Linked DNA regions of Rattus norvegicus. The protein of the gene in region 2 purifies or fractionates together with the protein of the main gene of each other region. This does not show direct contact. Links are inferred from orthologs where the notes say so. Each region holds a gene or a part of one and is shown on either strand. Other genes may lie near its edges. The genes, in order: Mycbp2, Lgals3bp and Cul7.

The links.
Region 1: the proteins of Lgals3bp (region 2) and Mycbp2 purify together in Homo sapiens (co-immunoprecipitation; 3 studies listed by BioGRID and IntAct, counting the BioPlex papers as one, with this or other methods). This does not show direct contact. The link is inferred for Rattus norvegicus from reciprocal best matches to the Homo sapiens genes LGALS3BP and MYCBP2.
Region 3: the proteins of Lgals3bp (region 2) and Cul7 purify together in Homo sapiens (affinity purification with mass spectrometry; 3 studies listed by BioGRID and IntAct, with this or other methods). This does not show direct contact. The link is inferred for Rattus norvegicus from reciprocal best matches to the Homo sapiens genes LGALS3BP and CUL7.

What each region holds. Positions count from the first base shown.
Region 1 is NC_086033.1:86,374,639-86,385,406, forward strand, and holds part of Mycbp2 (E3 ubiquitin-protein ligase MYCBP2), read right to left. Parts: intron 8,496-10,768; coding exon 8,338-8,495; intron 7,658-8,337; coding exon of another isoform or gene 7,655-7,657; coding exon 7,458-7,654; intron 6,689-7,457; coding exon 6,539-6,688; intron 5,143-6,538; coding exon 4,982-5,142; intron 4,016-4,981; coding exon 3,859-4,015; intron 3,688-3,858; coding exon 3,463-3,687; intron 1,570-3,462; coding exon 1,504-1,569; intron 217-1,503; coding exon 1-216. UniProt on the Homo sapiens protein: Atypical E3 ubiquitin-protein ligase which specifically mediates ubiquitination of threonine and serine residues on target proteins, instead of ubiquitinating lysine residues.
Region 2 is NC_086028.1:104,122,647-104,133,514, forward strand, and holds the start of Lgals3bp (galectin-3-binding protein precursor), read right to left. Parts: upstream 5,203-10,868; 5' UTR 5,068-5,202; intron 3,360-5,067; 5' UTR 3,339-3,359; coding exon 3,287-3,338; intron 1,563-3,286; coding exon 1,371-1,562; intron 1,243-1,370; coding exon 1,111-1,242; intron 1-1,110.
Region 3 is NC_086027.1:21,823,646-21,834,513, forward strand, and holds the start of Cul7 (cullin 7), read right to left. Parts: upstream 6,700-10,868; 5' UTR 6,609-6,699; intron 5,892-6,608; 5' UTR 5,884-5,891; coding exon 5,313-5,883; intron 4,827-5,312; coding exon 4,675-4,826; intron 4,569-4,674; coding exon 4,095-4,568; intron 3,508-4,094; coding exon 3,372-3,507; intron 3,280-3,371; coding exon 3,083-3,279; intron 2,830-3,082; coding exon 2,586-2,829; intron 1,573-2,585; coding exon 1,335-1,572; intron 1,242-1,334; coding exon 1,136-1,241; intron 146-1,135; coding exon 1-145. Other genes in the region: Mrpl2 (large ribosomal subunit protein uL2m precursor), read right to left, coding at 7,232-7,444, 8,045-8,118, 8,400-8,626, 8,720-8,861, 9,407-9,569, 10,834-10,868. UniProt on the Homo sapiens protein: Core component of the 3M and Cul7-RING(FBXW8) complexes, which mediate the ubiquitination and subsequent proteasomal degradation of target proteins. Core component of the 3M complex, a complex required to regulate microtubule dynamics and genome integrity.

The DNA.
Region 1 (10,768 bases), on a different chromosome or scaffold from region 2:
CCGCAGGGTCTCGGCCTCGCAGCTCCTCTGCTGAGCCACACTGGCTGAGATCTGGCCAGCAATCTTTGTGCTTTCACCGTCTTTCCAACCCAGGACTTTTACTTGTCGAACTCTTAATGTATTTTCTGGGCCCTTTAACTCAATTTTGATGATGTGATTATCCCCTCCAGGGAGTTCACTTGTTACCCAGCCAATGTGCCTGGAATCCAAGTCGACCTGGTGGAGCAGAGAAAAGACAGGACCTTGATCCAGCAGAATCACTTTATCGCGGCTCTGGTCCTAGCATCAGTAACCGAAGGCTCAAATAAACAAGTGCACAGACGGTAAAGATCGTCAGGGTGTTCCTGTTATCTTACTTAAGTTAAGGGCAAGCAGTAGTATCTACAGGAGCCAGAACAAAGAAGAAAGCGAGGTTAACCCAGGTTGAGAGAGTTTCAGGAGGTGGTGGGGCTGAGAAGTGATACAGGCCTGACTGCCACATGGTTTCCCTGGGTAAATTCTGAGGAAACTATTACAGAGTTTACACGATTCCCTACACTGGCTTTCAGTAGAAACAACGTAAGTAACAAGGTGCTGTTTTATGCATCCTTACATTAAGTACCACAAAAGAAAATGGCATTTTCATTGTGTTGATATTTCAGATGTGTGTTTGTATATCAAGGACTGGATGTCAATTCATAGAAAAATGGGTTTTGACACTACTTTGCCAATGAAATTAAAATTATTCTCATTCTATTTGATGACCAAAAAGGAACCTGCAGCCTTCTAGATGACTGATTTAGACATTTGTTACTTTAACTATAATGTCAATACTTCCACAAAGAGAATATAAGTGTGAAAATCAAAACAAAACAAAACTTTTAGAATAATTTTCCTAGATTCTTTAGCATTTAAATATTTTTCATCTTAACTTTCAGTATAAATGGCGAAAAGAAAAAATTCAAAGAAATGTACTGACTTTTGCATTACAAAGTAAACCTAGAAGCAAAGCTCTGATAAGGTTATAGTTATGTAAGTTCCTGAGTTTGTGCATAATCTCAAGCCTGTGCCCAGATAGGCTTCATTTCTACAATTGTTTTGTAAACTGATTTATAACAGATAGAACTGCTGAAGTAAAAGCCATGGCTGTATTTTACTTGATTTTGTTTAGGCTAACAATCAATTCTAATGTAGGTGTTGGTAAATGAAGTTTCTGGCTGTGAATCAGTGACATTAAAGGCACTCAAGTCTTCGTAGAACAATGAGGGATTGCAGACTGTAGGCTTGTGACTGAGGGCATTTAAAGAAATATAAATACATACAATATCCAATAAAAAATAAAAATTCAAAGTGTATAAAAAAGAAATAATAAAGAGCTATCTAGCATTGGGATGTAGTTCTTGGCCACAAATTAGTTTCAATTTACTGTTCTGTGAATAAATGATTTCTTATGCTATCTTGGTAGTATGGCAAAACCGAAAATCAACAGTGAAAGCTGAGAAGAAAAACTGGCATTTCAATTACCTGCTTTATTCTGCACAAATCTTCTACTGCTTTACCAGTCAGGAAGGTCATCGAGGTAACTTTATTCTATAACAGAAATTCAAAACAGTTACACGGTGTTTCTTCAGGGAACATGTACATATACACTTATGCTTTACAGCCTCAGATGCCGTGCTATAGTGTCAACGTCCTCACAGACCGCATACCACTTGTCCAGCCAACCACAGGGCCTGCAGTGCCGTCATCTCTTACATTTTAGCCTCTGTGTGACTTCTCAGTTTACTTTCCCAGCTTTAAACAAATTCCAAACCTTCAAATTTTGTATCTTCATGTAGTGACTGACAATTCTGCTCGGCCGAGTCCCTGTTTCTGAAGCACATGAAAGGAAGGTTCCTTAACTAACAGCTACTGTGTGCGTCATCGAACTGTGTGGCTGCGGAAGAGAACATCGTGTAAGGTGCCTTCTATCCCTGCAAAGGGCTCAGCAAACCTGGGAAGGCAACGCTCACGGGAAATGAACATCAGCCAACACTACCAGTGTGGCGTCTCAGTGCAGGAGGCCAGTCACCCCGGCACTAGGGTTCAGTAGTTTTATGCTAAGCACATCAAAAAAATGTACTAGCATCTTGAGCTGTTTATTATGAATAGTAACTCAAAATAACAAATGCTATGGATAAGGCTCACTGTGGGTAGTTGGGAGGCGAAGCAATGTATTTGCTCAAGGATATCTCTTAAAAGGAAAGCAGATGTTATGTGAAGAGTTTTTGGATTCTACAATAAATATTGTCACAAAGTATATCAACTTAACAAATATAGACATTAAATTTGATTATAACAATCATTGTGAGGAGGATGCCCTGGTGAAAAATGTATTGAGTCAAAGATGAGTTTGTAGTCAGCAGTAAAACCTAGCCAGCAAAGTTCTAACTTTTTCTTGTAAGATGAACTTTCTGTTTATAAAAGGAAATAAGCTCATGAGGTGCTAGCTTATGCCCCGTGTCCTTATCTGGCCCCAGGGAAGCACTGAATCTGCACTGCTGCACAAAAGCTGGGGTCTGGGGAGGACGGCAGATGATTGTACCTGGATGGAAGAGGGGACTCATGTGCTTAGCTTTACTTCCAGGTTATTTGAGACAAAATCCCCCTCCTTCCCTCCCTCCCTGCCTCCCTCCTTCCCTCCCTCCCTGCCTCCCTCCCTTCCTCCCTCCCTTCCTCCCTCCCTTCCTCCCTCCCTCTCTTCTTTCTTTCTTTCTAGGCAAAATCAATATGCAATGGATGGGTTTAGCCCAGCAGTGGCTCATGGGAGTCCACTAAAACCATCTGCTGAAAAGCCTCGTCTACTCTGAAGCAAAATTCAAAGAAGTATTCTTCCCCAAGACTAAGGGCAGAAGAATCAGTCTGGCGGCCGATGCTATTTTCCAGCTCAAGTAATAGGATTCTTTTCTTTTCTTTGGTGCCTTTTATGGAAGAATGTTTTAATTCAGATGAAACACTTTATTAGAGAGATTAGGCTGGAGGAACTGTAAATCATGAATATTTAAATGAGTTCAGGGACTGTCCACCTCTAACTCTAAGGACTGAGGGTATGAAGCAGAAGCCAGAAACTGATTATACTGTGGGCCAAGGTGTATTAGGCACAATTAGAGTGCTACAAACAGAACAGAGTAGCCAAGAACCCAGTGGAGGGAAGAGTAAGTTCTCTCCCCGGAGTTACAATCCAAAGAGGGCTTCTCTGCTGAGTTTGGGGATTGTGGGATCACATTTTATAGATTTTAATCTTGTTCAGCTGTAGCCAAGGTACATTTGTGATCAGACCATTTTTTAGAATTTATAGTCCATAGTGTTTCTAGTCATATAAATCTGTTCTTAGAGTTAGGATTTATTTGAAGATTATAAAAATGTTTGGTTGGAGAAGTCCCCAAAACTTAAACCTCTTAGTTTAAAAGAAACAGTGAGCCAGAAATTAAGTTCTCTTCTTACCCCAAGATCCCGGGAATTGTCCACATGAACAGATACATAACGGGCATTAATTCCCTTCACACAGTTGATAGTGATGGTTTTAGTTTTATTTTTATCTTCATCTCCTGATTCCCAAAAGGTTTCTGTGGAGCCATCTGTCAAACTGCCAATCATGGCAGGTCGACTTGATGTTTTTATGTCAACGATACTGGTCAAGTCCTTTAAGCACATAACTATGCATAACTCCTACAAAGAGAAATGTAAACAGTCATAGTGTTAAAAATGCAATCTTTTGTGTGGGAAGAGTAAGCATTCAATAGTAAACACTGTAATCAAACTGTGTATGACTCACAGTTTGTCTTTTACCACACTTACCACCACTAGCTGCTACAACAGACATGTAAGTCGGCCACTGACCTGGTTCATGGCTTCAAAGCCAGACTGGATACTGATGCTGAAGCTCTCCTCACTGTCTCCGTCGTCTGACTTCGACAAGATGTTGTTGATATGATGGAAGACATTGCTCTGATGGAGGAACTGGTGGTCAGACTGCTTGAACTTAAGGCTCCAGCATCTAAAAGTATAAACAACAGACAAAATAATTATTTTCTAGGATTGCCTATGAGTTCTCAGAAAAGCTACTACACAAAAGATTACTTTTGTAAAATACATTGAAAATTTCTAGAGGAGGATGAAATTATATATATATATATATATATATATATATATATATATATATGTATGTATGTATACACACACACATACACACACATATTTATTTTGAGAAATAAAGGTAATTTAACAAGGTCAAAAGAAAATCTATTTTAAATACACACACACACACACACACATACACATATAAAGGAGCTATGGAGGTCAAGGCCACACAAGCAGAAATGAATCTGTTCTAAGGATAAGCATTATAGCAACTGCAATAGCTTTGCTAATTTCTGTGTGATAATGATTTAATGATTTTTGGGGGTATAACATTTTTTACCCTCCTATGAAGATTACAAAAACTATGTTTTCTATTGGCCTTATCATTAGGGATGTAGGAAACCTAATCTGTCCCATAAGCTTGTTATATACACCATGGAGGATTTATTTGTCTATAGTTCACTGACTCAATTAAAAATACAGTTCATAATGTAATGCCAAATTCTCAACACATTCCAAATTAAGATGACGTGATACTGTATTTCTTAAAATTGGAAGCACATAACTAGAATCTGGAATTTACTTTCAAGCCCCTCCCAACTTTGTTTTGGTTTCTGAGATTTTATTTTCATTCTCTTTGCTGGTCACAGTGAAACAGGAGCAGGAAAGGTGAACAAGATGGTTTCACCAACAGTCTGGGAACTAAGAAGGGCAAACAGATACCAGCCAGACAGAAAAAGGTTCTAATTTAGGACAGAAGAGGGCAGTCACCATTTCCTCAATTTAGGGATTCTTTGCATCTTGCCATTTAAACATTTTTTCAAGTATTCAGCACTTTGCATAGTCCATAAATTTCTATTGGAACACTTTGGTGAAAAATTACCTTAGGGCCATTTGCTGCAAGGAACTGCCACTAGGGAGCGACATCATGAGGTCGGAGATGGTCTGAAGTAAGCGGTGAAAGGTGTGTGGCAAAGGGTGAGCAGCCTCGCCTGCAATCACGATGTCTGACAGCGGGTGCTCACACACCCTTGTGTCCTTCTCCTGCGGGAAATTGGAAAGGAGTTTATCAGTTGGAAGAAATGTTTAAAAAATAGTCATATAACTATAACTTGTAAAATTTCTAATGTATTTGTAACATTTCTAGAGAAAACTATAAAGTAAATTACAGGTAAAAAGAGCAAACAAATGAATATCACCTATACACATCAATTTTACACTTACATGTCACTAGAAGACTGCATACAGATGTAGATACATGTATCTGCATGCACATAAATTCATATTCAAATAGACATATTTTATGTAGATGTTTATATATTAAAAGCAATGCATGTTTAGGAGTTGGGGTCCTCGTAGTTCATAGGACTTTTTATGTACAGTAGGCAATTTACAACATGACCATGACTTATTACCTATGTACACAAAACTCAATATTCTGGTCAATGGAATTTCTTTGAATGGAAACAGTGCAGTTTCCTCATCAGTCTACCTCAAAACAATCATTTTGTCTGTTTTAACAAGCTCTGCTATGAAGCGCATCTTCACATAATAGGAAAGCTCACAGAAGTGTAGTAACGAAATAATTTTTCATGTGAATGTGTATAGGTTTTGCCACATTTTTCTCTAAGAGGTGTTTACTACACAGCATATATGAACTTCTTTGTTTTCCCATTCTGTTGCTAATGGGCGCTTATCAACATTCTGAATTATGTCAATGAGCTAAGTAAAACACAGCATGCTACTGCTTCTTGCTTTGTATGCCTACCAGAGTAAGAACATCAGATGAGTTCTAGTTTACATTATCGTTCACTAAAGCATATTACATTTCATTAGGTCAAGGTGCCCACGTGGTAGACTGGTTATTTCCGACTTCGATTTACATTTGAGAGCTACATTCCCTGATAAGGGCTACACATTATTTCTTTGGCCACCACATTCACCCCATTTACTGCTAGGCTAGAAAGGAGAGCGTTCCAGCTCTAGACTCTCTATGTACACGTGATGCTGACTGCAATACTGCAGGACATCTGCTCGCTTGTTGTGTGACAATGGCACTCAATGAGAAACCAGTTGTGTTAGCATCTTTGCCACATAAAAAACTTTTACTAAGTAGGCTAACATTTGTCCATACTATCATTGTTGGTTTTTTTCAAGCCAAATCATCTGTCAATTATTTCATGTAAAACATTCTACTCGGGTCCTATAAAATATGTAACTATGGCCATATAGCCATGCACACACAGGAAACACCATGTGGACCCTGGCTGCTATCAGCAATGACAAGGAACAGAAGAAGTGGAGGGGCTGCCCGAGGGGCAGCTGGGGGTAGGAGTGGTGGATGGTGTGACTGGCATATATTGTATAAACTTGTAAGACTGTCAAAGAATAAAATATGTAATTAAAAAGGGAAAGCACGGAAGAGGAGGAGAAAACCCACTTGCTCTGCATTTTCTTTACTGGATTTATTATCTTCATCCTCGTCTTCCTCTGCCTCTACAGGAGAAGGAGTCAGTGCTGCCACAAAGTGCCAGAGAATGTCATGCAGAGACGTTGTTTGGATGACATTACAGAGAAGCCAGTTGAATGCCTGAGTAAAGCGAAGCATAAAATAAGGGGAAAATGCGAATCACAATACATAGGGGTTTATTGCTGTTATTATTTAAAATTATTATTTAAAGATAAACATGTTAAATAGAAAATGAGGCCTTTGTTTCACTGAAAAACCCTCAATTTAAAATAGTCAATTCTGGTGTTAATAAAAAAAAAAGAGCAACAAGGAAATATTGTTTACAAAATACAATGAAAATTCCTTTTTAAGTCAGCATTTTTCCTAACCAGCATTTAAAACTAATACAGAATTTTCCAAGTATTATACAAATAGCCATTTACTTAACTATATCATTTACAACATTAAATGTAACAAATTATTTACCACATTCTTGTTAAAAAAGAAGAAACATTTACTATCTGTAGGTCTAGCAAAGGCTTCGTCCCTACTCCAGAAAACAGAGGCCTGGATAAGCTACTACTGTAAATATCTAACTCAGAAGCCCAGTCACCTTCTTTGCATGATGTCATTTTATTCTAGTGAAATGTCCTGAACACAAAAAGGTTTAAGAGACAAACTCATATTCAAGTAATAAGCTTGTATAAAAATAGAGATTTAGCATACTTAAATGTAAAGTTCCAAATTAATTTGTTCGTAAACTTTATTAGTTTGATGTGAACACTTTTTTCCCATTAGGCACATGGCTTTAATTTGATGTAATTTATTTTAAAAAAAAAAAGTGTCGCTAATTAGAATTACTGTGTCTTTGTGTAATACATGGATAGTAATTTTATCAAAGTATCCATACCTCCATAGCAAACACACGGCAAGCCGACTTCCTTAAGGCCTGCTTCATTGCGATTTCCAGCCCTTCTAAATCATGATGCTGTATGACGAAAGCTAAGACTGGCCACTGGAAGTTTCGCTCTCCTTTGGAGAGAGAGCTGTGGGCTGATATAAGCCGGGAAAGCTCCGGTGACGGATGTCGCAAGAGAGAAGACCCAACTTCTGAAAAGAAAAAAAAATTAGTAATCTTCATAGATAGTATACAATTAGTGTGTTAAATACTGAAAATATCTAGCGTATTCACTTTAAAACTTTTTGTTTTTGCACGTGACATAAATCATAACAATTTCAATTAGTGTTAAGGAAGCAACTGTCTTACTTAGAACTACACAGAGTATGATGAACAGGTAGGTTTTGAAGGAAAAACTGAATCTCAGTTCATACTTCCTGCAGCATTGTTAAAGCTAAGTAGCTTGTATTATGTCCATACATTCCTACAAGGCTGAGTAAAAGTATGTTATGAATATATGTAAAGTGTGGAAAAAGATGGCTAGTTAGAATTGTCAACAGACGCAATCTCTGGGAAGGGAGTGTCAATGAGGACTGGTCTGGATTAGGTTGGCATTAAGGGTATTCCTGGAGAGATTTTCTTAATTGGCTTAATTTCACTGGGAAGACCTATCCTGATTACTGGCTGAGCCTAGCAGTGAACGTAAAGGAGAGAGAGCCCTGAGCACTAGCACGCACGGACTGATCAACAGTCTGCTGATGTGATGTGACCAGCCTAATTAGTCGTGAGCCAAGTAAACCCTTCTCCATTTTCTCCATTCTTCTGCAAGGAAAACAATTTTCTTTGTTTGTTTGTCCGACAGTTTCATCATTCAACCTGCCATTATGCCTACCCGTGTCTCCACTGTTCACTCTCCTTCTAGGGATGGCTTTAACTCGTGCAGGTAAAATGGAGTGTTGTTTATCATATTCCGAAGCGACAACTGAGTATGACCTCTGGAAGACAGTTCTCTTAGCCAGGTCGGTGTCAGTTATCGGGCTCGTTTCCAAACTGCGCATGCGGAAAGAACAGAGGTAAACACTTATGAGAACCAGGGGCGTGGGGTGCAGTGACACTTCTTCTGAGGCAGTGAGTCAGATGTGTGATTCCGTGTGGGCTCCATGGGCACGAATACACGTGCTGCACAGACACATTCAGGTAAACACTCATACTCATAAAGTGAACATAAAATCTCAAAAAAGAAGAATGTAATCTTTTCCAAAACTGTGATGTTCTGAATGATTCCAAAACTGTATCTTAAACTTATACTTTTCTGAAATTGTTTGTATTTCAAATGAAAAGAAAAGCTTCCAAATGTCCTGACATTTTCTTTTTAAAGGTTATTTCATGTGTATGAATATTTTATGTACATATATGTACATCACATATGTGCTCTTTGCCTACGGAGGCCAGAAGGGGTGAGAGAGATCCACAACTGTCGAGAGATCCACACCTGGAGACAGATCCACTACACCTGGAGACAGATCCATCACACCTGGAGACAGATCCACCACACCTGGAGCTATGGGTGGCTGTGAGCTACATTGTGGGTGCTGAGAACTCATACAGTAAAAAGAAATGACCATTATATAAGGAAAACTGATGAAGAAAATGATGCTTTGTTCATTATAGATACTTGAATATGGATAAATGAGGTTTTACATTCTCCAGAGGAAGGGCTGTCACAAGAGTGCAATTAAAAGGTGAGAGCTATACTTATCTGTGGGTATGTGAATACATCTTTTAGAATTCAGTTAGAAAATACATTGGTTTAGGAAAGTGGGTTCTCTTCCAGAATCTATGATCTCTCCAGTCACGGGCAGTTGGCTAGGGTTACAATACCAGCATGAATTCCTCCTACTGAGCAGCTTCGAGTAACTAACCACCAAGGTCATGAAGAGTTATTAGCAATCGGGGGTGGGGGAGGGGGAGGGCAGTCTTATCAAGATTTGAGCCCCTTGAAAGTAAATCCATTTCTAAATGGTCAACCATATATACATATGCGAAACTCAGGAGGGTCAACCATATATACATAAATGAACTCAGGAGGAGTGTGTGTATATGTATACACATGCACATATACATACATACACAATAAACACAGGGAGAAAGTAGGGGGCAGTGGAGGAACTGGAGGTGAAAGATAGTCTTTTAAAAATAGTTTTCATTAACCACTGATGTTATTTCATCAACTTATAGTTAATCTTGGGTTTGTAACAGGACAGAATTTAAAAACAGCACATTCTGGCCTCATATATACTCAGGTTTTTGTTTTCAAGTGTATCTGATTCAAATATATGTATATTTGACTTTCAGTAAACTTCTAAGGTAACATTTTATTTTAAAACTTCAGAGGATATTTAATTTTTTTTCTCATTCAAAAATTATGATACGAAGTCTGAACTATACCTTTCTTTCCTTTTGCAAGATGATTTGTTTTCCTTGTTCAGATACTTAAAATATTCCTATTTTGTTGTTGTTTGGTTGATCTGAGTTTTAGTATCTCAATATATTAATCTTTACCATAAAAGATTTTCATTCACCTCAGTATTGTATAATTTTGGAACCCTATGAATCATTATAATACCAGAATCTTTTTCTTTATTAAATTTATAATTAATTCCTTAGTTTCATAAAGTGTTGATTTGTCATTTTAACATCATAATGTATCATTTTACTTCATATGGCTTTTTAATCTTACTTCCACATTTGAATTTTTATTATTATTCAATTGAGGTCATAATCATCTTTTTTTTAATACAAATTACTTAAAGAAATTTTCTTCATTTTCTTTAGGTGAATTTTCTTCCAAATTTGTTTCATTATTATTATTTATTACTATTATCATGATAAATCACTTTTGTTTCCCAGTTTGGTCTGGTAATGTACTGGATTTTCTTGGGCTTCTGTCCCCAATCACACTTGATACTATTATCAAGTATTATTTCTCCCAGTGATAAAACAAGGTTTTCCTTTCTGTCCTAAGGCAGAGACTACTCCGTGGAAGAGTTCTGTGGGACCTCGGCACCCAGCCACTGTGAGCGCAGAGATGTCACACACTGAGCGAGGACTACAAGACACAGCCTTGATCTCTCTGAGCTTTGCGTCTTCTCCTTTCACATACTTTTTATTAGCTGGAAGGTCATTTAGCTTAGCAAGTTCTGGTTCTTTGCATGGCTAGCACAGGAATTTATAGCAACCTGTTTGATTTAGAGCTGATGAAAATTTATTTTTTTTTCAAATTTTTTTTTTATTAACTTGAGTATTTCTTATATACATTTCGA
Region 2 (10,868 bases):
TCAGAGGGCTTGTGGGAAGATGCAGGATGGGACAGGCCTGAAGGGAGGCTGCAGATGCTTTCTGAACTGCACAAAACAGCAGCTGGCCCTGCTGTGCCCTGCTGTACTCAGAGGCTGGCTCCTTGTACCACACACTCAGGCACTTCCTCTAGAGGAGTCACCCACCCTGAGGCTGTGCCCATCCTTCGCAAGCCCCCAGTGACTGCAGAGGCCACCCCCCTATGCCCAGTGAAAAACCTGATAAGTTAGGGTCCCATTGCAATCCTACATTAAAACTTGAGGGTTCCCAGTCCCAAGGGGAACAAGTCCTGAAGGGTCTCTGGCATATCTCAGGGCATCCCCACCTTCCCCTGCCTCCCAGACCCTAATCCAGAACTGCATACCACACCGTGTGTTGCTCTATACGGGCGTGGCATTTGGAGTGCGTGGGCTGGCTCCTTGTGTCTCCTCACACCACAGCCCCAGTGCCCCCTAGCTTCTACCTCTGGTGTCCGTTTCATGCTGTTCCCCAGTCAGTGGGGCCTTCCACATGCCTACACAGCTTATTCACACTCATGAGGCTCCCCCAGTCTGAGATCCTCCACCTCAGATCAACCTGTACCCAAGCCTGTCTGACCTTGTGGGATTCAATACCCCCAGGCCTCAGTTCTCCAACTCAGGACAGAGAGGCATGTCCCAGGAACAAAACTGCCCTGCCCCCCCACCCCCACCCCCCAGGAGGAAGCCACAGACGGTAGCCAGGAAGCAACACTCCCACTGGGCCTCAGGCACTGGAGATGAAGACTTTTGATGGAGTCGGTTAGTGTCCTTGAACATAGCCACCGAGAATCACTTCAGCGCCATCACACACAACCTGTGCGGAGGGGTGCTGTGCAATGTGTCAGAGCAAGTAGTAGCCGTAAGACACCGGCCCTTAGAGAGCCAACCCTCCAGCACAGTGCCATTTGTACTTGGAATACAGTCCCTTGCCCGTAATCTAGCCCTGCTAGAGAAGCTTCTCTGGCGTTAAAGTAACACGGGGGGCTCTCTTGGAGGACGCGTGCTCCCAGCCACAACCACAGTGCCACTTGCAACTTTGTTTACACGGGGGTGGGGGGCAGGGCAGCTCACCGTTGGAGCAGACCACGCCCGCGTCCTTCTCATGCCCGCAGTGGCTCACCATCCAGCCCAGGGAGCTGCAATTGGCCAGTGACGACTCGTTCCCTGTGCATTCCACCTCATCCAGCATGATTGGTCCCTTTCCTGTGGGCACAAAAGGAAAGCCAGGAGCCGCTTGGAGTAGGAACCGGACCTTTGGCGGGGACTGGGGCTGCTCACTGGGGCGCGGGAGGGGATGCCTGAGGAGCACTACTCAGGGACCTCAGCCACACCTGGCCCGAAGGCGGCTCTGCTCAGTGCTTGAGTAGCATTCTCATAGCCCAGGGCCCGGCAGACGACGTGGGCATCCAAAAGGTTCCAGAGGTTGTCGCACACTGTCCCCCACCGGCCTCTGTAGAAGATCTCCACGCGGCCCTCACTGGCTGAGGCCCCATTAACCAGGCGCATGTCTCCATCCTTTGCACCTGTCAGGAGAGTGGAGATTAGCTGGGAGGAGGGCTAGCCTGGTCTGATGCCCACTCCCCGTGTACTCAATGCTCTGTGTGCTCTCTCGTTGAGCAAAGGTCACCCCAAACAGGGTGGAGTGGCCTTCTGGAGATGCCTTGAACCACTTCAAGGGGCCCTCCCCGCACGTGCATTCGTGTGTGTGTGTGTGTGTGTGTGTGTGTGTGTGTAAGGTTACCCACTGAAGGGCTGGAGAGATGGCTCAGTGGTTAAGAGCTCCGACTGCTCTTCCAGAGGTCCTGAGTTCAGTTTCCAGCAACCACATGGTGGCTCACAACCATTTGTAATGGGATCAGAAACCTTCTTCTGGTGTGTCTGAAGACAGCTACAGTGTACTCACATACATAAAAACAAATAAAAAAAATCTTTAAAAAAAAAGGGGGGGGGCTGGAGAGATGGCTCAGAGGTTAAGAGCACTGACTGCTCTTCCAGAGGTCCTGAGTTCAATCCCCAGCAACCACATGGTGGCTCACAACCATCTGTAATGGAATCTGATGCCCTCTGCTGGTGTGTCTGAAGACAGCTACAGAGTACTTATATATAGTAAATAAAGAAATAAATCTTTAAAAAAAAAAAGGGGGGGGGTTGGGGATTTAGCTCAGTGGTAGAGCGCTTGCCTAGGAAGCATAAGGCCCTGGGTTCGGTCCCCAGCTCCGAAAAAAAAGAACCAAAAAAAAAAAAAAAAAGTTACCCACTGAAGAAGAGTGAAAACTCTGATGAGCCCACAGAGGCCATGGTCTATCTAGCTCTCATCTCTGGGTCTTTTTCTCCAAGAGGACACCTTGGCTCTCAGCCTACTGAGTGAACTTGGGGGGGGGGGGAGAGGCTCTTTCCTGGCTCTCTGAAACGCTGGTATGAAGGGGAAGGTGGGTCCTGGGTTCCTAGACACAGGCAGAGAGCAGATTAACCTCGGCTTACGATGGGTGATGTCTTGACACCCCAGTGCCACCTGTCTCATGGCCTCTGGACTGTCCCCACTCAGCAACAGGACATTGCCATGCTGCCTGCTCCCTCCAAAGTGTGGGGACGAGGGAGCTGTGGTGTGGGGTCCCATTGTAAGAGAGGAGCGGGGTGCACAGCGCTGATATCCCAACTCGCACATACAGTTGCTACCTCATCCCTACAGTGTCTGCCTAGAGGGGACAACACTGGACTAGAGACAGTCTGCCCTCAGGCACAGGTAGCCAAGGGAGTCCTGCTCCCTGCTCTCTGGGACTCCCGTCTCTGTCCATGCCGGCTGGGTGCTTGAATTGGGGTCACCCATGCTAGAGCGAGATACTCAGCTGAGGGTCCAGGATGGGCAAGGCTTTCAGACCCATGGTGCAGTTTGTAAACTGTTCCACAGGGACTCTCTGGCATTCTAGCCTGTGACCTGAGAGCTCAAACTCCAGGACAACACAGGCTGCACTCTCCCTCCTTGGCCCACTGATGAGGTGAAAAAAGATTCCTTGGTCTCTTCTCCAACACCTGCATTTCGGGGAGGGGGCAGGGCCCATACAGGGCCACCATTCAGAATGACTGAGGATCCACATGGCAGAGAATCCTAAGACATGGTGTCTTACAGGATGCCACCTGGCTTTTCTGCAAAGATGGGGAGGGGGTGTGTGTGTGACCCACACAGAACAAGGCACCAAGGCGCACGGTCTTGACTTCTGTTTTGGACCTTTCGCTGAGCAGGACTCACCTTGAGTCCCTGGAACCAGCAAGAACACAGAGAGGAGCCACAGAAGAGCCATTGCCTGACCTGGAAGCCCAACCTGCAGCAGAAGGAACAACAAAGTTAGACTGGCCACAGCTCTCCGGAGGAGACTGGTAGTTCCATGGTCCCCTGTCAAGTTTGTGGAGGACAGGATGGTGTTGTGGGTGGTCCCTCTTCCGTAAGGCCCAGATGGCCATGAGATGACCCTTATGCAGGCCTCTCTCTCACATGCTCTATGGGACAACCTTCAGGACAGTAAGTCTCCCCAGATGAGGCAGGTGGGTTGAGGGCTCCTGGCAACGAGAACCCAGGAAATAGACAAGAGGCTATCCCTCAACGGTTGGTCTTATCTTCAGGCAGCAGCCCCCTTCGGGGTGTGCCCCAAAGGGACAAGATATGCCAGTCTGGGAGGGTGTTGTGGATGAGGTTGGAGCAGGGAACTCTCAGGAGGAAGTGACAGAGACAGTTGCAGAGGTCATGGCGTGATCTGGGGATGAGTGGGAGATGGGTCAGGGTCAACTGCCAAGGTGCTGACACACAGGGACTCAATACTAAGACTCTCTCGCCTGTCTGTAGAATGGGCCCCACCCAGGCACTTTCTCTCGGGCCCTGCATGAAGGGGGCTGACCTAGAGAGCAAAGTGCAGCAGCCCTGGTAGACTCATTCTAGTCCCGAGGGCAGTGAGGTCGGGGCTGGTAGTGGACGGTGCTGTAGAGCTCTGTCTCCTGGGCAGGAACTCAGCAACGAATCTCAAACTGTTTTGTTACTCAGACCAGGGGCCCAGAGACCAGCAGTAGAGGTTATCCCAGGATCAGTAGAAACACCAGGATTGTCCTCCACCCCAGACATTCTGTACCAGAGCAGCACGAGCAAGACCTCAGTGATCCAGGGCTCTTGTAGCCATCTTGGCAAGGGTGAAGATAGTCTAAGACAAACTCGTGCCCTTCCCTTCGGTTATCGTACTACTGAAGCAAGGACAGAACTGGAATTCCCCCTGGGAGTCTCATGCTGAAAGGAGAAAGCTGTTGCCTGGTGACAGCCGGAGGGGAAGCTTGTCTCCAGGAAATATCAGCCCAGTCTGGGATTTACAGCCCAGGCATAGGGCAGACCAGTTAGCTATACATTCCTCTATGTAAACCTCATGTTAATATCCCCTATAGACTCTGGGATGTTAATGGGGGAAGGCCACTGGACTCTTCTCAGTGTGGCTGGCGGAGTCTGGCTACCAGGGGAGCATTCTCACTATAGGCTCTGACCGCTGAACTCTATAACTCGATGATGGGTGGGAAGCTTGATCCTTAGTGCTGTGCACCCAGTCTTATCCCAAGGAGGTCTGGGTTCCGGGAAACCTGAGTCCCAGGCAAAGTGCCCTGGGTGCCCACCCCCTCCATTTACTATAAGCTGTGGTTATAGGGTTTGTCCATGCTGGGTCAGGAACTTTAGGCCTTGGGAACATTGCAGGGTATGTGGACATTTTTGTCCACTGGATGACAGGGGCTGTTTCTGCCTGACTCCTTTGTGTGGGAACTTGGGATGTGCCTGCCTATGCTGGCTCATTCAGTACCACTGTGTAGGTCTGTTTAGTCCTGGGTGAGAATCCACAGACCCAGGAGAAGGCCGAGGGATGAACTGTACCCCACTCACCCCTTCAGTTGTTCTTTCAGTGAACATCCTGCCTAACTGTTTAGAGGCTCTGCAGGTCTAGGTGTTCCTGTGTTCTGCGACCCCCCCCCCCAGAAATTATGCTGTGTAGAGCGGGGACTCACCTGGGAGCAAGAGACAGGTAGTCAGTCACCTGTCCAGGCAGCTGCTGCAGATGGTCCTGGAGCCTCCTTGCTGGCTGCAGCTCGAAGCTTTCTGTAGACTGTTCAGCTGAGAAAGGCCCCACCATGTGGTTTTCCTCAGCCTCTTCCCCGGAAATGCTTTATAAACCTAGTCTAGTTTCGATTTCCAGAAAACACATGACGGAGGCTGCCTCTGGGGTTGGCTGCAGACAAGGCTAATAGCCCTCTGCTTGCTGCTCTGCAGGGAGGATGGCAAGCACCCAAGTGCCCTGTGCTGAGCTGATAAAACAACAATGTTGCGGCTGAACAGATACATGTCCAGGCTGGCCAGGCAGGCACCCTGGGAGGGCAGCTTGGAAGGGGATGGAACAGATATATCCCCTTGCTGGCCTGGTAAGCACAGTGGGGGGCAACTTGTCCAGGCTGGCCAGGCAGGCACCCCGGTGGATGGTGAGAAGATGCTGCAAATGGGCCGGGGAGCAGAGGCTCAGGTCACACAGTGTCTGTGAACATGGATGTGGGCTGCACAATCCTTTCCTGGATCTGGGGAGGCTGGCTGTGCTCACTGCACAAACCTTCCGTGCTCAGAGCATGCTCGGAGGGAAGGTATGTGGGCCACAGAGTGGTCCTGAGGGATGGGAATCGAGATAGAAAACAGGAAGCAGGGCTAGGAGCTAGGGGTGGCTTGCTGGTTAAGAGCATTGCCTACTCTCTCGGGGGATCTGAGTTCAATTCCTGGCACCCATGTTGGTTGGCTTGGAACAGGCTTTAAGTGAACTCCATGGGATCAGACTTTGTAGGCACACACATACACCCAAGTGTGCTCATGCATGCACACACGCAGTGCACATACGTTTAAAATTTAAATCTTAAGAGGTTTCTTTAATACCTGTGGTGGCAAACACCTTCAACTGGGAGGCAGAGGTAGGTGGATCTTTGATAGTTAGAAACTAGTCTGGTTTGCGTTGTAAGTTCTAGGTTAGTCAGAGCTACGCAAAGAAAGCCTGCCTCGAAGGAAGAAAAGGAGAAAAACAAACAAACAAAAAACCCAAAACAACAACAACAACAACAAAACTAACAACAACAGAGATGGTAACCTGCAGCCAGCCAATCTTGACACTGTGAGTTTGATCCCTGGAACTCACTGCAGGAGAAAACTGACTCCTGTAAGCTGTCTTCTGATCTCTGTATGTCTACCATAGCCTGTATGTGCATGCACGTGGACACACACAGTAAATAAATGTGAAAAATTATATAAAATTCAAAGAGGACTGGGAGGTTGCTCAGTGGTTAGGAACACTTGTTCTTCTTGCAAAGAACCCAGGTTCCCTTAGGAACTCCCACATGGTTGCACACAATCACCATAACTCCAGTTCTAAGGGATACAACGCCCTCTCCTGATCTCCATGGTCACCAGGCACATATGTGGTGCACACACATCCATGCAGACAAAACTTCCAAATATATAAAATACATTAAAATTAACCTTATGATAGGTTTATACAGTGACCTAAATCCCAACAGCTCCCTGTGGCTCCCCCAGCTGCCAGCCCCATAAGGTTTACTACCTCAAGACACTCAACTCTTGAATGCTATTCAAAACGTCCGACACAAATGACCCAGGAGGCAAAGTCAGGTGACTTCAAATTGGTATAAAATCACCCTGTTCCTTTCTGATGTATGGTTCAGGAATTTACCTGCTGTGTTTCTGTCCTTGGTGTCTACTTTTTTTTTTTTTAAGGATTCATTTATTTTATGTGTGTGAGCATTTTGCCTGCAGGCAAACACACCATGTACATGTGTGCCATACACCTGTGCGTATGGTGGCCAGGGTATCAGGTTTCCTGGAGTTGGAGTTACAGACGGTTGTGAGCCGCCATGTGGGTGCTGGGAATTATACCTGGCTTCTGTGCAAGGAGTATTCCTTATCAGTTGAGCCATCTCTCCAGCACCACCTCCCAAGTGTCCTTTATTAAAACTTCTACATCAATTCTGGTCTGGCAAATCCTTTTATCCTGTGCTTTGAGCTCTTTGTCCCAGGTATGACACCAGGGAGGGAGGCCCCGAGGTCCTCTAAACCCAGATAGTAACTTGTGAGTGGATACACTGGGGTTCCATACACACCTGACTCGATAATGCGATCTCCCTCCCAATGGCCCCAGGGACCCTTTAGGGTTCAGACCACCACAGGCTCTGCCTGGCTTACACCCATTCCCCTTCCTCCACAAAGACAGACAGACAAACAAACAAACAAACAAACAAACAAACAAACAAAAAAGCAAAAGACCGGGTCTTGGTTTCTACTCGGGGAGTCCTCAGTCAGTGCAGCTCAACCTGGGCTGGCCATCTGGTGTTCAAAAGGCCCAGGGAGTTCTGGGGTAAAGCCCTTTTGGGTTCAGCAAAAGGCTTTTGGCCTCAGAGTTCAGGGGTTGGACACTCAAGGACTGGCTCCCTTGGATGTGAAGTTTCCATTGGCTATGGGGTCATTCAGTCCTGGGAAAACCACGCAGAGAGCTACAGGCAGGGATCAGCCTGACTCTGCAGATGTCCAAGCTTGTTGAACCGGGGGCTAACTTGTGGCTTCTGTCACCTTTGGCTGAGAGTGTGAGAGGGAGAGTGGAGGTGTACCCTGGAGAAGAGAAGTGGGGGGGACAGTCAGCCTACCTGGACTGCCTGCCTGGTGGCTCCAGGAATCAACAAGTCTCTTTGGTGCCTCCATCCTGGGGCAGGCCCATTAATCACCTGGAGCCCGGGACCTAGGCTTCTCCTGGGGGAAAGGATGCCAAGTTACAGAGGCTGTCACAGGGTGTGTAGTCTGTGGCAGGCCCAGTTGCTCTATGGTTCTCGGCCTTCCTAATGCTGTGACCCTTTAATACAGTTCTTCATGTGGTGGTGACCCCCACCATAAATAATCTCATGGCTACTTCTTCACTGTAATTCTGCTACTGTTGGGAATGGCAGTGCAAGGATCTGATGTGCAACCTCAAAGGGGTCATGACCCACAGGTTGGGATCTGTGATGGTTTGTTTGTATAAGCTCGGCCCAGAGAGTGGCACTATTAGAAGGTGTGGCCCTGTTGGAGTGGGTGTGTCACTGTGGGCATGAGATTTAAGACCCTCATCCTAGCTGCCTGTAGGTCAGTCTTCTCCTGGCAGCCTTCGGATGGAGATGTAGAACTCTCAGCTCCTCCTGCACCATGCCTGCCTGGATGCTGCCATGCTCCCACCTTGATGATAATGGACTGAACCTCTGAACCTGTAAGTCAGCCCCAATTAAATGTTGTCCTTACCAGAGCCTCCTTAGTCATGGTGTCTGTTCACAGCAGTAAAACCAAAATTAAGAAAGAAGTTGGTACCAGGGACTGAAGCATTGCTGTGATTGGCCTGACCATGCTGGGTTTTTGTTTGTTTGTTTGTTTGTTTGTTTTTAAGAATGTGTATTTGGAAGGGTTGGGGATTTAGCTCAGTGGTAAAGCGCTTGCCTAGCAAATGCAAGGCCCTGGGTTCGGTCCCCAGCTCCGAAAAATAGAAAAAAAAAAAAAAAAGAATGTGTATTTGGGGGCTTTGGATTTGGAAAGCAGTGGAATGCTTTAAGTGGAGCTTAATGGGCTAACCTAGTAAGAATATGGAAGACTTTGTTGCTGGGAGTAATTTGAACCGTGCAGACCTGGCTCAAGAGGTTTCAGAAGGGGGCTGGAGTGATGGCTCAGTGGTTAAGAGCACTGACTGCTCTTCCAGAGGACCTGAGTTCAATTCCCAGCAACCACAAGGTGGCTCACAACCATCTGTAATGGATTCTGGTGTATCTGAAGACAACTACAGTGTACTCATATACATTATATAAATAAAATATTAAAAAAAAGAGGTTTCAGAAGAGAAGAATTTTAATATGTGGCCTAGAAACTGTTCTTGTGATATCTGGGTGAAGAATCTGGGTGCTTTTTGCCCTCATAAGAAGAGTCTATCTGAGGCTAAGGTGAAGAGATTTATATTAATTACATCGATGAAGGAAAAAAGCCCAGCAGAGACTTTGTTCTCTGGTTCAGTCTCATACTTTTTTTGGGGGGGTTCTTTTTTTTTTTTTCCGGAGCTGGGGACTGAACCCAGGGCCTTGCGCTTCCTAGGCAAGCGCTCTACCACTGAGCTAAATCCCCAACCCCTGGTTCAGTCTCATAAAGAGAATTTTGAACAGGCATAGCAAGCTTAGAAAGGAGAAGTATAAGATATATGGTATTGAAGGGGCACCAGGAAGTGAAATGTAGCTGAATCCTGTGTTCAAGGACATTAAATTGAATTAAGGGAGTAGTGACCTTGGGGCAAGGTCCTACCCAACTAAATTTAGGTTCATTCAGGTGTGGCTAGGTCCAGGTGAGGTAGTACAAGCCTTTAATGCCAAAAGATAAAGCCAAGCAGATCTTTGAGTTCAAGGCCAGCCTGTGACAGAGCAAGTTCTAGGTAAAGAAAAACTTCCATCCAGGCTTGGTGGACCACACCTTTAATCCCAGTGCTTAAGAGACAGGCATGCGGATCCCTGAGTTGCAAGTCAAAGGAGCAAGTTTCAGGTCAGCCAAGCTTAGGCAGTGAAGGAGTTGGAGAACAGACAGCTGGCGATAATACAATAGAACAAGGGAACCATGTTCCAGGTCCTGTAAACAGAATTCAGCAGCTTCAGCCATGTCGCTCTGACTTTAGAGGCCAGCATAGAAGGCACTACTGGGACGATTGATGCTGGTCAGCTGGATCTAAGAAATTAGTGGTGACTACGAAGAGACCAGCAGCACTGAGGAAGTGTTTTCTGAGAGCACAAAGAAGCTGTGCTCCAGAGATAGACAAGGTTGTACCTCCTGCTGCAGCTGTACTTGGTAATGTGTAAGCGTCACTTAGGTTTTGAGGGCATGAAGGGGTCATGAAGAGCAGCTGAGGCTTGACACTGTGAGAGGCCATGGAAGGTCATTGGTGAAAATATAGTCTCAGTTCAGTTGATGGCCCAGGACTGAAGGGGTCATGCAAAGGGTCTGAGTCTTGGCACCAAGAAGAGAACCCATGAGAGGAAGACCCCAGGGTATTGGAGATGCCGGTACCATGGGATGATCACCAAGAACAGCAGCAGCGGTGGAGTGGATCAACCTGAGCTTAGAGTGCTACAGAGGGCAGAGCTGGAGAAGTGACACCAGCCCTTTGGAGAGCCCAGAAGATCATGTGTGGATCTCAGACATTGGATCAAGAAGCTGTAACCTGAAGTTGCCTTGGAGGCCCCTGTAGGGTTATTGGTCCCTAGTCCATCCGCTCCGGTGGACAGGCACAGGGCTCATCCACTCAGGGAGGCAGGACTTGGGAAGTTGACTGTGCTTACACCAAGCTGTCGACCGGTGGGTGTCTGGCTGTGGGAAGCCTCAGGACACCGCTCCGGGGGTGGGGAACCACAGTCTGAGGCATGGGACCCAGCTGGAGCTGGCTCGGGGATCCCCTGGCCTGCAAGGAGTCCAGGGCCATCAAGTTCTCAGGCTCTTGGGCTGGAAGCCTCAGAAGAGCAGAGAATGGAGTGGGGGACCCTCAGACTGGATATGGCCCAGGGCTGAGGGGGAAAAAAGAGGATGCTCTGGCTGGTCCATGGGGAAGAGTCTTTGGCTTGATGAGTGTAGGCTGAAGGCTTGGTGGTGGTGCCTGGGAGTGTAGAGAGGCCTTCTACGGGAGATTAGATGGCAGCTCTGTAGGTGAAGGCCATCTCTGTGTGTGGCTCTGGTGAATCCCGATGAGAAGAGACAGTTTATTGCTTTAAGACAT
Region 3 (10,868 bases), on a different chromosome or scaffold from region 2:
GCTCCTGAGCCAACTCCAGTTTCCCTCGGTGCTTTTCCAGGACCTTGGAGATGGCGTCCCGGGCTCCTAGCTGGTTTAGGATCACCGCATAGTCCCGGCTCGTGGAGGTCAGGCGGTGTAGGAAAAAGATTAGTTCCTGGAGCACCTGAGCGGGGATGTCAATCAAGGGGACAGTGAAGAAAGGGGCAAGCCTCGGCTACATGGATAGCTGTGGTGACTCATGCCCACTCTGTGCTGGGAGCCGAGCAAGGCAGTGTGTGGAAGTAATATAAAAACCAGGTGCAGTTAGAGAAACAAGGTCAAACCTATGGGAAGAGCCTGCTTGCCCTCTGGGGCTCTTAGCCACCAAGTATGTGGGGAACAGGTAGAGGATCCTCAGTTCTTGGACTCAGCTGTGGCTCCCAGGAGCCAGCTGCAGGATTGGTGTTGAGATGTGTAGGCCCCCAGCCCAGACACTTAATGAGGGCTAGAAGGGAAGAGAAGGCCTGAACTTCTCTCTGGTCTAGCTTGGCAACTGAAGGCATCGACTTGAGATACTCATTAACACCATACATTTGACCCTTCTGAGGCCTCCTGTACCCAGGACCTCTTATAGAAAAGTCTGCTCCCTCACTCCCTCTCTGAAAAGATTTCGTAAAGTTATTTAAATCTTATGTGAGAGTATTTGCCTGCCATTACACCGTGTGTGCATGTGACTAGAAAGAGGTGTCTACCTCCTCCCTAGAACGAGTTACAGATGGTTGCGAGCTGTCCGGTGGGTGCTGAGAACTAAATCTGGGTCCTCTACAAGAGCAGCGAGGCTGCTCCCCTTCCTCCTGAAGGCCTGGCTGAAGCCCGCCGAGCTCATTTCTATACGCTTAAGGAAGCAGGGGACAGACTATAGATTAATACAGTGGGTTACCAGCAAGGACGCTCAGACAATGAGAATCAGGTAAGAGCCAGAATTCTCAAGGACTACCTTGTGCCATTTTGACTTGTGAACTTTTCTGAATATTACCTATTTAAAAAACATAAGATTTTCATTTTAAAGGCAAGAACACAAAGACTCTGTTGCATCCTCCAAGCCTCACCCGGGGGTCTGCCTCACTGGGGTCCTCCCACCGCCCAGCATCTCCCCAGAGTGGGACAGGGCTACCTCTCGGTCAGTATTGGGGGACCGAAGGCAGGTCATACAGGCATCCATGGCTTCATGCCAGGGAAGCAGCAGTGCCTCAGGGAAGTTCACCAGCTGCATCAAGATTCTAGGGGGAGAGACAGAAACGGGAAGGTAGAGAGATAATCAGGTTGGTGTGAGGCCTTCCTGTGCCCAGCCCTGCCCCTCACTGCTCTCCCACCTCAGCGCAGTCAGGTGCAGGGCCTTGTTGCTGGCTGGAGTGTCCAGACTCCGCATGAGTGTGAGGAAGGGCTGGGGCTCCTCCTGCAGCTGCAGCAGGCATGGCTTGACCTCATTTTCCTGGGGAGCCTCAGAGCTGAGGGCTCGCTCCAGGTCCACAAGGAGCTTCCCAGATGGGCCCAAGCCCTCCACCAGTTGCCGCAGGGCAGGGCTGGCACTCTGAGATGGGGGATCTTGGGCTGGAGGAACAAGAGTGGGGTAAGAATTGGCAGTACCTGTGTCAGGCAGCTCGTGACCCACTGCAACTCCAGCTCCAGCCATCTGACAGTCTCACTGGCCTACTTGGGGTATCTGCATTCACACGCACGAACCCACATACAGACACATAATTAGAAATAAAATCTTCTAGAAACAATAACTGAACACAGTGGTTCATGCCTGTGGTTCATACATATGGTGGAGACAGCAAGGACCAGGGCAGCAGGAGAACTTGCCCCCCCCCCCCCCCAAAAAAAAAAGAAGAAAAGAAAGAGAGATAGAGGAAAGAAAGGAGGAAGAAAAAGTGTGGCGGATGGGTCTACAGAGATGGGTCAAGATTAAGAACACTTGTTTTTCCAGAGGCTCCAGGTTCAATCGCCAGCATCCACTTGGCAGCTCACAACTAATTAGAACCTCAACTCCAGGAGAGCCGACGCCCTCTTCTGGCCTCTGTGGGCACTGCATGGACGTAATAGACACACAATACCCATACGAATAAAATAAAATAAAAATTTTTTTTTGGCTTGGTACTTTTTTTTTTTTGGTTCTTTTTTTCGGAGCTGGGGACCGAACCCAGGGCCTTGCGCTTCCTAGGCAAGCGCTCTACCACTGAGCTAAATCCCCAACCCCGGCTTGGTACTTTTGAGACAGGGTTTCTGTGTAGCCCTGGCTGTCCTGGAATTTGCTCTATAGAGCAGGCTGGCTTCAAACTCAGATATCTGTGTGGGCCACCACACTCAGCTAAAATAAAATCAATTTAAATAAAAGATAAATGACAGCTGAGGAACGACATCTGTAATTGTCTTCGGGTCTAGACACACAGGTACGCACGCGCGCGCACGCACACGCACTCACGTGGACGCACATATAAAGTTTCTGGGACTGTGGGTAGGGTATCTCTTTCAGACAGGACAGCACACTGTTAGAGGAGACCCCCCTGTGACGACACTCTCCCGAAGGCAGGTGTCTCTGCTGCTGTCTGCGGGACACTCACCTTCAGCGCCAGCCTCATCTTCAGAGTCCGTTTCGATCCGGAATAGGTTAAGCTGGTCATCTAGCACAAACGGGCGGTTTCGCTTCCCTACCAGGACTTCGGGGCCGTACTTCCGGTACACATAGCAGTTGAACAGGTCCCTCAAAGCGCTGTCATCAAGTTGTTGAGGCAGAGACAGCATCAGGTCCTGAGCCAACTCAACAGGTACAGTCAGCTCGGGCAGGATCTCAAAGTCCAGAACATGCTGTGGGAAGAAAGTCAGCCCGTAGCAGCTGAACGAGCAGATGGTGAGAGGTCCTCTGGGGGAATGGGGAATCTCCACACACATCCACCATTCTGAACCTCTGGTAGCTGACAGCCCACCAACACTTGCATCTTTGAACTTCCCAGACTCCTCCACTGTGGGCCCCTGATGCTATCTGACCTCCACGTCCCCTCCCGAGCTTTGCAAATGTTCCAGTCCAGACCTGTAGGGGGCGCCTCTGAGGAGTGCCTACCTCCCCCTCCAGGAACTCCTGAAGGAGCTCCACCACGTGCTGCCGTTCCTCTGCGTTTAACTTCTTGATGAAGAAGAAGAGCTCCCACCACTCGGCCTGGGTCAAGTGCTCTCTCTCTTCCCTGTCTTCCTCCTCGGGCACCACGTAAGGCTCGGCAAAGAGCTGAGCTATGGGCTTCCAGTGCTGGAATGGCGGGGCTGTGAAAACGGGGCGTGCCAACGGCCAAGTCACTGCCTGCCCAGGTAGGCCTCTGCTTCTCGGCTCAGAGCCAACCCCTCCCCGAGCTCACCTACACCCAGTCCTCCATGGACCATTGCCCCCTGGTCATCAATGTCAACCACATCCTCAATGTCTTCCTCAAAGCCCAAGATCTCAAGCATGTGCCAGTGTACCCAGTAGGTATGGCCTGTCGAATCCCACAACACCTGGAGGATTGGAGCGCGGGAAGAGGGAAGGAGAAGAGGATTTGCTATTAATCAGCTGAGGCCCAACGCTGGGGCTCATGGTCTATAAGGTGACCAAATAGCAACACTGGCTATAGAATATATAGAATGCATAGACGACAGTGTATATACAGACAGCCCCACCCTCTCTTCAGCAATGGCCTCTACTTCCTTTATTCTAGTTCTGTTTTTACTCTCTTTCAGACGGGGGTCCCAGACTGGCCTCAACATTGCTATGTGGTCACGGCTGGCCTTGAACTCCCATCTTCCTGTCTCTCTCTACCTCCCGAGTTCTGAGACTACAAACATGGCTACCACGCCTGGATCGTCTCTGTCTTTGATATTCAATGCTTCCATCTGGCCTCAAACAGCCATTGCCAAATTCGGATCTACCAGTTTCTTCTTGGGTCCGAACTTCCTTTAATCACATATCCCAAGGGTTCCATGTCCTTTCAACTGTTAATGCCTTTGCCCTTTGGATCTTAACTGAGCCTCTAGTACAGAACACCCAGGCATGCATGCCTTACCCAGAATAGAATTTCAGGGTCTCACTACTGTACAGCCTTTACCTGGACCGGAGGCATGCCGTCGTTGCTCTGTCGGAACTGGCCTTCGTCCCCAGCACTGATCTCCTCGAAATCCTCCAGCATCCGTACCCGCATCCCGGGCCGTAGCGTATCCCGCACATACAAGGCATAGGTGTTGACACTCGCAAATGCGGTGCGCGGGCGAAACCGCCTTGACCTCCTGAAACGCTGGGCACGGGGGCGGAAGAACTCTGTTGGCGGAGGCTGGAAAATGGGAGAGGAGCTCTCTGATCTGCTTGAGGCCCAGTCCCAGCGCATGGCTTGCACCAGCTCGGAGATCAGAGTGCCCATGGCCATACTGAATTCCAGTTCCACCCGGCCCCTCCCAGCATTCAACTCCTCTGGAATGAAGTTGTTCTGGGCATCTTGATCCTCTGCGTTGCCGTTCAGCCGATCCAGGAGGAAGGTGACACATAGGTAGCGTTTCACCAGGGAGAAGAGCAGCCGTCCTGGGACCTATAGAATATACCTTTGACCCTCACCCATCTCATCTTCTGCCCTCTTTCCGGAGCATCCTCTGTGGCAAATCCTCAGCTCCCACTACCCCATATTCCCAAAATACCTGTGGCAGCTGAACGCCCTCGAAGGACATCGGGTGTTCTGTGAGAGTAGCCTGGGCAAACAGTGCAAGCAGAGCGCAGCGGCTGTCAAAATCCAGGTGCTTTTCGATGGCCTCTTGTTGGCTCAGTGACAGAAGGATCTGGGTCCGGGTTCCTGAAACCCATACCTCCAATCAGAAACAACTCCCTAAGCCCAATCTTTCAGGCATCTCTCCTAGCTTTCTACTTACTACCAATCCTTTGCCAGAACTCATTGGGAATGACATATTTTGTTGATTTGCTTCAAGAGCCAAAGTTTACTATCACACATACACACCCAGACACCCAGACACACACACCCAGACACACACACCCAGACACACACACACACACACACACACACATTCTGCAACAGTCTAAGCTCTTCTTTTGCATAAAAGCTAATGGATTAATATGTTCTTGCTTATTCAATCTCCCCCACCTCCCCAATAAACATTCTCCCCCGCCCCCGCCCCCTCTTTTTTCTTCCAACTTAAAAGTGAATGACAACAGAACCATTACGTACTGATGCAGTCAGAAGGTCCTGTCACAGTGTCCTCTGAATCCCTGAGCCAACCCAGACCCTCTCCTGTTCTCCCTTCCTCCCCAACCTGCCCCTCACCAGCATCATGGGAGGACAGAGCTTGTATCATCCGGCCTGCGCTCCAGCGGATCTGATAATCAGGACTGCTCAACATGTGCATGACCAAGTCCAGAACTCTGCGATCTTTGAAGACGCCCGTGAGGGGTTCAATGCTGGCATAGGCACTGAGTACATGGACCGTGTGAAGGAGTGGGGCAGGAGGAACAGCGCCCACACACTCCTCCAGCTGCCGAAGGGCCCTCTGAATCAAGGACTTCACATCCGTTTCCATCTCCCCCAGCACAGATTTATCGAGGGCCCCAGCCTCTGCAGACTCCTGGGAAGGTCTGATGACTTGGCCATCCTCCCCCAGCATCTTGTGGCAGTTGGCATAGATCTCATCGTCAGTCATCCATAGCAGGATATGCTCAGCCTTGCAGTCCACTTGACTAGAGTCCCCATCATCTCCGCGCCTGAGGATGAGCCAGCGGATCTGATACTCAGGGTGCCCGTTATGGCCAACCCGTTGGCGGATCAATTCATCCGGATATGCGTGCAAGCCAGGCCCCAGGGGCACCCTGAATTCCCTGTAGCGGAGCTCCCCCACCATCCTGGCACCTGAGACACACAAGGAAGAGAGAAGAGGCAAGCTAGAGTGAGAGGGAGGTCAGAAAACAAGGGCATCCAGGAGTTGGAGGAGCAAATGCAGCAACAGCTGTTATGCTGGGTGGGGTAAAGTTGGGCCTGCTTCAGGCCGAGTGAGACCTGGACCGAAGAGAACACTGTGGAGTTTGTTATTCGAGAGCAAAATATTGGAGCTAAAAGGTCTCCAAGGCTTGTAGCCTTGAGTGGGTTTGGTTCTGGACAATGGGAAGGGCAGTGGTCTAGAGCAGTGTTGGGTTTACAAATGAAGCCCAAGATCCTGGGCCAGTAAAGGGAACTTAGGAAAATGGGTGTGTGGAGGCACAGGACTGTGTCAGAGGAGGGATGAAATCTCTAAATTGAAGCACTGGGTGGTCAGGCCCAAAGGAAAGGGCACAGAAATGGCCATCAGCAAAGCTGACAGGCTGGGAGAAGGGGAAGGAATGGAGACATCCATGCCAGAGCTGCGAGGCCGGGGAAAGGGTGCATCAGGGGTCCGATGGATAAGCGGCGCGAGGCTTGGTGGATGGGAATCAAGACCTGAGAAGGTCGGGAACGGGCGTGGTGGGATAGGATGGGGAGGTAGGCCCGATAAAGGAGAGTCCCAAAGCATGGTGGGGAAGGGGACGAGAGGCTCCGCGGGCGATCGGAAGCCCAGAAAAGGGGCAGGGGCCGCGGCGGGGCTCTGGCCACCTCAGAAGTCCACCGGGATCCTGGCGCGAGGCCTGTCCTTTGCAGAGATAGGGACGCGCTGCACACGATGGCGGCTGCTGCGCTGACGAGTGTTTGGGCCCCGCCTGGGCCCCCTGAAGGGGTCTAGGCGCAGAGGAGGGGGCGTGCCTGTGCAGGAGACAGGCGGGCAGAGGGCGTGGCCAGCAGGAGATTTCACGGCGCGCGCCTGCGCACTGCCTGCTGCAGGGTGGAGCCTAGTCCTGGCTAGGGCTTCGGGCGCTCCCAAGCTCCGCCGCCTGCATCAGCCACCGCTCGTTTCCGCCAGATTTAGCGGAAAGCTGGAGGCCCGGGGCTATCAGCGGGAGGAGTAGCGAGTGCCACCTGGACGACGCAGCCCTCCAGTTCCGCACCGCCCTTTCCTCTTCCTCTTAGTCCTCCTTCCTGTGCCGGAAGTGCCTTCCCATTTCCCAAAGCCAGAACTGGAAAAGACCTTGGAGGTCATTTCTAACCCCCTCCCCATCCGTTTTTTTCCATTCTCTTCCCTCTATCCTTGATTATTTCTCTACAGTCTGTACCGCGCCCTCCAAAACTGAAAAGGTAGTAACAGATAAAAACAAGGAACATTTTATTTGAGTCCAGGGGAATCAGCTTTGGGCAGCAGCGGAGGGCAGCTTCACGTAACTCTTCATGGGTGGCAGTGGCCGAATCTTCCGGCCGGCCCAGCCTCCCTTGCGTTGCCACAGCCCACTGTTAGGCCTCTTGCCTAGCCAGCGGTTCCGTCCTGCCTTGCCGATGACCCGCTGGTTATGATTAACGTTGGAAACCCGGCCTACAGTTGCAGTGCACGACTCCAGCACCTGACAAGAGAAGCAGACAAGAATGCACCGGTGGGAGCAAGAGCCTGGCAGGGCAGTGTTGGGAACACTACTCTAGGTGGCTTTTTACACTCAATAAGGGATGGAAAAAGGAGAAACACAAAACATTAGAATGTAAATGTGGGTCTGACAGAATGAATGAAAAGTTGAAGAAACACACACACACACACACACACACACACACACACACACACACACACACAACACTCCTGAATCTGTTTTTGTTTTTGTGGTTTTCTTTTGGAGTCAGGGTCCTGACTGTTCTGCATCCCTGCCTCTGGCTCTTGAGAGACGGGATTAAAAGCCAGTTCCAACCTGATGGTTCAACCCACACCTATCTTTTCCTGGAAAAGCCTAGGTAGCTTCTTTTGCCTCATCTGGAATGCTGGGATTACAGACATGTACCGCCATGCTTGGCTGGGAAAAGGCATTCCATTAAGGCACCGACCTGAGGAGGCCTGCTTACTCAGGAAGCGAAGACCAGAGCACACACAAATGGAACCTGGCACCATACACTTGGGAGATAGTGAGGTGCATTCCACAAACCCCCTCTGCTGACTCCTCCCATTTGTGGCCACACACCTGCATTTGCCTCTTCGAGGGCAGCTGGATAATGGCTGTTCCATTCACCTTCCGGAGCAGCACACCGCATGTCCCTGGGGAAGGGAGACATAGCTTTGCCACCCTCCACAAATCAGAGGGAGGTTGCCGTGGGGATCTTGGGTCACACGCTACCCTTACTTTGTCCTTTGGGGCACATGAAACACAGAAGACCATACACTATGATTTAGGATAAAGCAAGGCACATATTCGTCCTCTTACTGTTTGTTTTCTTCTGTCCTTGGAACAGATGTGGGCCTAAAGGGTTCACAGGAGTGATAGCAGGTACCCCTGGGTCTTCCCAACTGTGGGAAGAGGGCAGCGTTCGGGTCCATACCTGCAGCTCGGATATACTGGGCTCCTCGGCCAGGCTCGCTCTCTACATTGTTGATGAGGGTCCCCACAGGCAGCGCCCCAAGCGGATGTGCATCCCCTTCCTGAGCAGCCACTGCCATTCTGCCGATGTGGTTAGAGTTCAGGATTGTATCTCCTGCCTTCATGTTTTCTGTGGCAATGATCCAGCGTTTCCGGCTGCCCCCGGCAACCAGAGCTATGTCTGCAGACCTGTTCAGGATGACGGACAAAGCCCACGTTTTCTGAGAAGCTACAAAAGAGCAGTTCAGACCACACCATCATCACTTCCCACCCCAAACTTGCCTACAAGGATCGTAGCGGACTACCACAACCTTCTCCTCAAAGGGTTCTGGCTCGGTCCCCTTTTCTGGCCGGAACCGGAGAAAGTCAATCATTCGATAATTCTGCTTGTGGCCTCCACCAATACCATGCACTCGGATGCGGCCTAGAGTCAGGAGAGTTCAGGGCTGTGATTAAGGTTAGAAGAGCTCTCAACATTAACAGACCTTGCCTAGACTGGACAGTAGCACTCCCTCGATATTATATCACACACAGAAAAGTGACAAAGGGCTGGTGGTGTGGCTCAGCCATAGACAGCTTGCCTTATAAGGCCCCAAGTTTGAGCCATAGCATGTGGGTGTGTGGAGGCCAGGGCATCCTTGAAGAAGCACTGAGGTAACACTTGCATGGCTCAATACAAGTACGATTACTAAGATTGTATAAAACAAAAGTTTTCAGGTTATTGAATTCAGTAGACTTACTGGGAGGGATATAAATCGGACTCACACACACTTTAAACCGTTATGAATTTTGGGCACTTTGGTTGAGCTGGTTATATTTCTGTGTGGTCTGTTCTTCAGCTTCAACAGTGAGCCACACAGCAAAACGCACCTCACTGACATCTTACAAGCCACAGTACACTGCCTTAGACATCCAGGGCCCTAATGCAGTCTCCCCCCCACCCCGGATGCTCCCGGCCCTTTCTCCCACCTGTGTGGTCTCGACCCCCAGACTTCCTCATCTTCACTGGTTTAACTGTGTACTTGATACGACTCTTCCAGGACACAAACTTAGCGCTGCGGTCCGCAGACATATGCACTGGGCGGTGAGCGGGCAATGCCAGGGCAGAGGGCAGCTGAAGGAGGACATTGCTCTGTATTTCGGGATTAAAAAGAAAATCCTCTTTCAGAGAACCAAGGGAGAAAGCACACGGATCAAGTCTGGCTTGTAGGCTATTTCCTCCTCAAAGCATCTCAGACCACTGCCCTCAAATCTCTACCCTTCAACTTCCACAAATACCAGCGTAATGTGTTTATCCAGTTACTTGGTAACCATTTGGTAAACCTCTGAAATACTTCTCCGAGGAGATGTTTTTCCTTCATCAACTTCTAATTCGTTTCAAGTTCTTGCCCGGAAATAGAAACCTTTCCTTGCCTGAAGAATTCATTTTTCCAGAGCTGGTAAATTCCACACACCCATATACCACCATTAGCAGCAGTGACCTTTGCCCTCTGCACGTTTTCAGGAATTTTCAAATATGAATAAAAATAACTACTTTGCTTTTCCACTTGCTGTAGACCCAGTGTTAGGTTTAGTTTGGAATATCAAATATATATTTGCTAAATTTTGCCAAGCTTAGCCTGAGAAATGCTGAGAAGCAAGGTCAATAATTTCTTTTTTAAATAATTTTTTAAAGATTTATTTATTTGTATGAGTATACTGTAGTTGTCCTCAGACACACCAAAAGAGAGCATTGAATCCCATTACAGATGGTTGTGAGCCACCATGTGGTTGCTGGGATTTGAACTCAGGACCTCTGGAAGAACAGTCAATGCTCTTAACCACTGAGCCATCTCTCCAGACCCCAATAATTTCTTTTTTTCTGTGATTCACCATTGCCCACTTCAGACCCACTGGTTGACATTCCCTAATATCAGCCACAACCTATCCACACATTAAAATGGTTAAGAGCACTGGTTCTGGTGTGAGGTGTGTAGGTCAGAGGTAAAAGTGCACAGCATGAGCAAGGCTCTAGGTTTAATTTGAAGTACGAGAGCAAAAACAAAAGCAAGCTCTGAAGTCAGTCTGTCAAGTCCCAGAAGGTGTAAGACTTAGACTGTTGACCAGTGTTCTCATCTGCAAAATGTGCACAACTTTCAGGAGTTCCTTTAATTCAGTCCTCTATTCTGCTTGGTTTGCGGTTGGCACATTAATGTTACCATTGCAACCTGTTTAGTAAAGATTTGCAAAAGTACTTGGAAGCCAGTATCTCGCTGACGAATGGAGCTTTCGGAGAGAGCAGCATTTACAAACAGCAAAGGATGAAGGCAAGTTTACCCAAGGTCACGTGATCCCGACTAGCCTTGAGGGATCACTGACACCCCAGGCGGATTTTATTTCCCAGGTAAGCGGATTACCTGGCCAACAGGAAGCAGAGTCGGAACCCGGGCGG